2 linked regions of the Bombyx mori genome follow. The protein of the gene in region 2 interacts with the protein of the main gene of each other region in a pairwise test. Links are inferred from orthologs where the notes say so. Each region holds a gene or a part of one and is shown on either strand. Other genes may lie near its edges.

What was found. The genes of interacting proteins can lie anywhere in the genome.
Region 1: the proteins of GTP-binding protein RAB2 (region 2) and vam6/Vps39-like protein interact in a two-hybrid assay, tested with the Drosophila melanogaster proteins (2 studies listed by BioGRID). The link is inferred for Bombyx mori from reciprocal best matches to the Drosophila melanogaster genes Rab2 and Vps39.

Annotation. Positions count from the first base shown.
Region 1 is NC_085124.1:8,478,518-8,482,042, forward strand, and holds part of vam6/Vps39-like protein, read right to left. Parts: intron 3,491-3,525; coding exon 3,301-3,490; intron 2,156-3,300; coding exon 2,038-2,155; intron 1-2,037. UniProt on the Drosophila melanogaster protein: Part of the homotypic fusion and vacuole protein sorting (HOPS) tethering complex involved in endo-lysosomal vesicle trafficking and lysosome biogenesis.
Region 2 is NC_085125.1:6,237,479-6,240,313, forward strand, and holds part of GTP-binding protein RAB2, read right to left. Parts: intron 1,341-2,835; coding exon 1,185-1,340; intron 48-1,184; coding exon 1-47. UniProt on the Drosophila melanogaster protein: May be involved in bidirectional endoplasmic reticulum (ER) to Golgi trafficking. Together with Rab7 involved in promoting fusion of autophagosomes and endosomes with lysosomes, probably through recruitment of the HOPS tethering complex.

The sequences.
Region 1 (3,525 bases), on a different chromosome or scaffold from region 2:
ATAAATGCGGCCATTTAACAGAGTCAAATGCTTTTTGAAAGTCAACTAAGCAAATGAACGTTTGCATGTTGAACTCTCTCGGCTTCTCTATTATTTGTCGCACAATCAAGATCGGTTCTCTGGTTCCCTTCCTTTACAAAGCCAGCTTGTTCTGGTACTATTTGTGTTGCTGAACAGCTTTTTAAACGTTCATTAAGAATATGTAGAATTTTGCTGCAGTGTGATTGATATCAGGGCAATAAGACGATAATTGCTACACTTCCTTGTCGAACCTTTCTTATGCAAAGGAATAAAAAGGGAGTGCGTCCATTCTGTAAGCCAGGTGCCAGATTTCCATATCTTGTACGAATTGCGTGGAAGATTTCGACACCACTCTGGCTAAAATCTTTAACTGTCTAGATTGGGATGTTATCACTTCCTACTGCTTTTCCAGTTTTAAGATGTTTGATGGCATGACGAACTTCTTATTTCAGTATTTCTGATTCGCATTCTTGGATATCTGATGTCGTTGGGGGTAAAATTTTGCAGTCGGGGTCAAAGAAGAGAGCTTGGCAATATTCTTTCCATCGGTCTGAAAGTCTTCTAACTCTGTTACTACACATCCATCCGATTTCTCAACAGCCCAGGTCTGACACAAGTTTTGGGGATTACACTAATTTTCCGGTACATCTCTTGTTTCGTGTTTTTCAACATGCGCTTCAGCTTTCGAGCAGATCTCTCTCAGAAAGTTATTTTTATCCCTCCTACAGGCTGTTTGAATGTTAGCACCAGTTTGTTCAGTATTTGCACTTCAACTTCCTGTGCTTTTTTGTGTCGTCTCTCTTCCACCAATGGTAAAGCTTCATCACTCATCCAGTGCTGATGTTTTTGGTTTCAGATTTGGTAGGTTTAAATGTTTTCACTGCTTCTCAAATCATTGCTTTTGTTCTATTCCAAAATTCTTCAGCCGTCAGTTGATCATGCCGTTCAATTTTCATTTCTTTCCAACTCTTTTCGAAAGATACAAAAAAGATGTGGGTGTCATGAGGAGCAATTATTTCGCATTCATTAATTTTTCTTGCAACCTGAAGTTTAAGTTGGAATTTAGAGACAAGGATCAGATCCGTAGTCGGCTCCACCACTCCACCTTGATTTTATAAGTATATAGTCAATTTGATTTCAGTATTGAGCAGCTGGTGAAGTTCAAGTGCAGCAACAAGCCTGCGTGGACGTTGTTTGAAGAGTGTGTTCGCTATCGATAAACCATTGTCATCTCGGTGGGTCGCAATTTCGTTCCGGTGATAGATTCAGCGAAGCACAACTCTTGTTAGGGCTGGTGTTAGCAAATTTTCTCAGGTTTGAAGCCATGAGCTCACCTACTCGTAAGGTAATAACTGAAATAGTCTCCTAGGCTACCGGCGAATAGGAAAAAAAGCCGGCATCCAAACCCAAAGCTACATAAATTTTATTTTTATTGACTTCATAAAAGGAGATGGTTCTTGGGATTGGTTCATTGGGATCTATTATTTATTACATTAATCGAAGACGGCAGCACTCCAAAAAGTATACGGTATCGATATTACTATAACTTTAGGAGGAAGCAGCAACCTCAAAACAATTTATGGAGTACATACAGAAAAAATATTCGGTACCTATATCATCTCAAATATAGCAAGTAGTCATGTAATTAGTGGAATGCATAGAATAAATACAGGACAGTATACGGAACCGATATATCCATACATTTGGATGGATGTCGAAAAACTGATTAAATGTATGGAACAAATACAGAAATATACAATGTGACACATTATTTCCATCATGAACGGATGCAAGGAACCAGCGAAAATTATTTCAAATTGAATATCTTATTTTTGAATTTAAATAAAATTTATTGTTGGTAATAGAATTCACATGACACCAATGTAACTATATTCGCACGAATAATAGTTTAAAACCCATTGGAAACGGTGGATGCAACAGGGTTCGACTATGAAAAGACGCAAGAAGTCTTCATCGATTTAAATATATAAAGATATAGATATATTTACATTTTACCTGTACATCAGTCTTGCTTTATTCAATTCGGACAATGATTGTATATAAAACGCTGGCTCCACAGTCTGCACAACAACTTGATCTTGCAATAGACCCAGTACAAACGGCTGATCCCACACTAAAAGTGATTGTATTTTATTAAGTCGTAAAAAGCAATCAGATTCACCAGAGAATGGATAGCAGTGTTCTCTGAATACCGTAGCAACATACTGCGGTCAACAGCCATTATCGGTATTGATGTTTTATAAGCCCACATTAGGGTACCGTCTAACTTGTCTCTAATATGTCGCAATAGTACTTTCCAGTTGGTAGGGTGGGACAACGGTTGGGCGTTATGAGAGACACTTAGACCTATATACATATGTCTAAGACTTGCGGAATTCACGCTGTAATGTTTGGCAATATAACCAGTTAATACGGACTAAATCGTGAGCTCATGTACAATGCAATGACTTGAGCTCTTTTCAAACGCCGAACAGATTCTTATTAACGTACATGGACAGATAAATCCAGTACCTACCTGCTGTTACTTTTTTCCTACCTATTCTAGTAACCTCAAGGGGTTATTCTAGATTCACCGAATTAGTAGGTGATTTCACGGGGCTCAAACCTGACGACGTTGCTAACACTAACCCTAGCAAGAGCAGTGTTTTGCAGAATCTACTACTGGTTCGGAAACGCGACCCACTGAGAAGATCCGGCGAGAAACTCAGTGGACTGTGTCTGTGGTTTAATTTATTTATTTATTTTATTTATTTATACTTTATGCACAAAACAAAACTTGTACACAGGCGGACTTAATGCCATGGGCATTCTCTTCCGAGCCCTTCGTCGCAGGCAACAGGTTCGACGAGAGGAATAATCGGTACTTGATGTACATGAAAACACCGTTAGCAGATCGGGGGATAAAAATTACGTGTTTTGGGCGACGTCGACTGTTTACCATTCAGTCCGCAGCATCGGGAAAGACGATGTTCATAAGTCACAGCAATAACGTAGATTCCAATTGGATGGGTCGCACAAACATAAAATACCTAAGTTAGCTGTTAGGTGCAAATCTCAGTTGTATTGAAGTAAGGACTCATAAAGTCTCGGCAGAAATGGGCGATATTTTCAATAAGTACATCGGTGGGCAGCGCCGATTATTAGTCAGAGATTTAATGTTAAAGTCGGAGGAAAGGTTATGTTTAGAGCTTTGAGACAGGCGTATGCTTAGTTGATGAGATACAGATATCTAATAGAACAATAAACAGACAAACTTACCCACAGCAAGAGGCGCCTCCTTCCATTTAATAGTTTTCTTTATATCGACATTTTTATTAGACTCCTCTATAAGAACCGATGTTTGGTCACGTCCTACTAGGAAAGATGTCTCTGTGTACTTAGAAATAGTTGGCTCTAATGATTTAGAACTACTTGTGGGAAATAGTTCTTTTGGTTTTCCATCTGACACCTGAAAAATGTAATAAAATGGTATGCAGAATGTAA
Region 2 (2,835 bases):
ACGCTTCGCCTTCTTCCTTCTTCACTTCACGTCGGGATTCGAGATCGCTGAAAAACAATCCGTCGTTTAGTTTAGTACCTAGTTGTGTAGTTAAATATGTTTAAAATCGTACAATCTCAAGAAAGTTATAAATATTCAATTATTCAAACGAGTAGGTAATTTAACTAAATAGGGTAGTTGTATATTTTAATTGCTGAAATCGGTACGAGATCCGAATCTCAATCCCTTCAAGCCTAACTGCGTGTTTGCTTTGCTGTTGAAATTAGTTTAAAATGTGAATTAGAAATGTGATAGCGCCAAAACTAGAGGGCCATTCTACTGTATGCGCGCGAGTTCATGTCCATCGGGGCACGAGGCGACGCGCAGTGGACAGCTCGCCCCACCTTCGCCCACCACCCCGCATTTGTCTGACGTCGAGTGTTGTCCTTGACGGTTGTGACGCGCGCTTATCGATATCGATAATTTACGCTAACGCTATTGTGTTATTTAACCATGACTACTCCGCTTCCAACAAGTTCAGATAGAAAAAACAACTACTAAAAAAATATACATACTGATTCCGACTGTAATCTATCGGTTGTCCTTTCATTTGATAGTGATTGAATCGGAATTTAAAAAATATTTTTCTCTGTTAGAAATAAACAAGTAATTAGGACTTATCACATTTTTACCTCAAGTTACATTAAAGCAAATTTACAGCTGTTGACTAAATCGGTAGTTATTATCGACATTACCATAATTAACTAGGTCACAGCACTACCGCATTCTTTAGGATAGACGTGAACTCGGGCGCCTACTGTAAGTACGCTCGGACGGGCAGGTCAGGTCAGCCCACGGGCTCATCCTGAGAGAATTGCTAACACTAGCCCTAGCCAGAGCAATGCTTCGTTGAATCACGACCCAGTGAGAAAATTTGACGAGAAACTCGGTGAGTTGTGTGTATGAGTTAGGTTGCACGTGGAAATCTTCATTGTAATCGAAATTCAACATGAACAGACTATAACAACTTTAAAGAATTAGGAGAACAGTTCAAAATAATCTAAACATACCGACTACTACCATAAATGCACACCAGAAATTGCCTAATTTTTTTCTTTTCTTTAGACAATTGAATTTGCTAGCAATTTTTAAACTATAAATATATATTTATTTACGTTCACCTTTATCATACCAATGTTACGTACCTCTTGTTACCGATAAGCATAATGACCATATTCGAGTTGGAATGTTGTCGCGCGTCCTCGAGCCACGTTGTGAGATGATTGAAAGTCTCCCGTCTGGTGATGTCGTAAACTAACAGAGCGCCAGCCGCGCCCCGGTAGTACGATCGGGTGATGGACCTAAAACAATACAAAGATCGATTCTTTCAATTCACAAACTTAAAAAAAAGTAGAAGTTCTTTTTTTTTGTTGCTTAGTTGGGTGGACGAGCTTACAGCCCATCTGGTGTTAAGTGGTTACTGGAGCCCATAGTCATCTACAACGCAAATGCGCCACCCACCTTGAGATATAAGTTGTAAGGTCTTAGTATAGTTACAACGGCTACCCCACCCTTTAAGCCGAAACGCGTCACCGCTTCAGGGCAGAAATTGGCGGGATGGTGGTACCTACCGGTGCGGACTCACATGAGGTCCTACCACCAGTTCAATTCAAGACTGTTTCGTTTCTAGTTCCATTATTAAAAAAATAATAAGGTATTTATTTCTAGTTGATGTAACCGAGAATCTCGACAAAAATTGATCTTTGGACGAATCTGTAGATATGTGTAAATCCTGGAAATGGTACAGTCTTCCTTTATACAACGTTTGAAGAGTTTTCTGCAGGAAGCAGCTATGCCTTAGCAGTTTTCATGTCTATGATCGACGAAGTTGTGTGGTCGTTTACTTTCAAAGACACTCACATGTTCATTTTTATCTTAGTTTAATTAACATTAAAATAGAATTCATTATTTAAAACCATTACAAACCTGAGATGTTTCATTCAACCTTGATGGATGTCGATAATTTAGTTAGAAATCAAGTCTTTCAACATGTCTACAGTCTAGACTGTAATGGCTTTGGAACATTGCGACACTTCGTACTTGCCTCACACTTATCTTTCCATGATATATGGGTATAGCCTCACTTGATCTTTCATAATATAAAAATAGTACCTAATTATATTTTTGCTATAAATAGTAAAATAGACAACCGTTAATTCAGTTTTAAGCTGCCGTGGTCGTAGTCGTTAGACGTTCTGGATATTTTTATTACATCTTTCGTGGTCAAGGACTATTAAAGAGTCATACGTGATAAAATTATAAAAACACTTAATTTAAACTATAAAAGTAATTTTAATTCCTTTACTGCACTTTTAGTTTACACAACAAAAATTCAATATAAATAGTTGTTACTACATAATTAGTTGAATCTCGGCAATATCGAATCAAGTCGTTGCTTTTTATACGATAGATTATATTTGCATTTAATAAACATGTCCCATATACATGGACACATTAGAAAACTTATCCATAAGCATTATTTTTCTGTAATGACACTTGAATCTATGAGTGCAATGTCGTTCACCTAATGTGATCTAAAGATTATTTCTTATAATTTTTTTTATGTTTAGTAATATTTATTGCAAAGATACGTGATCGAGCTCACGGGCCACTAGTTGTTAATTGGATAAAAAAGCCTATAGACATCTTAAAGTGAACATCATTACCGTGAACATCAAGACATGAGCTCTTATTCTCAATACTGGAAAATTAGGGCTTCGCGATTAAAAACGGAAGCCGCTAGTATTTTTCCCTAGATTACTCCACCCCTAATATAAAACTAAACAAAACTATTGG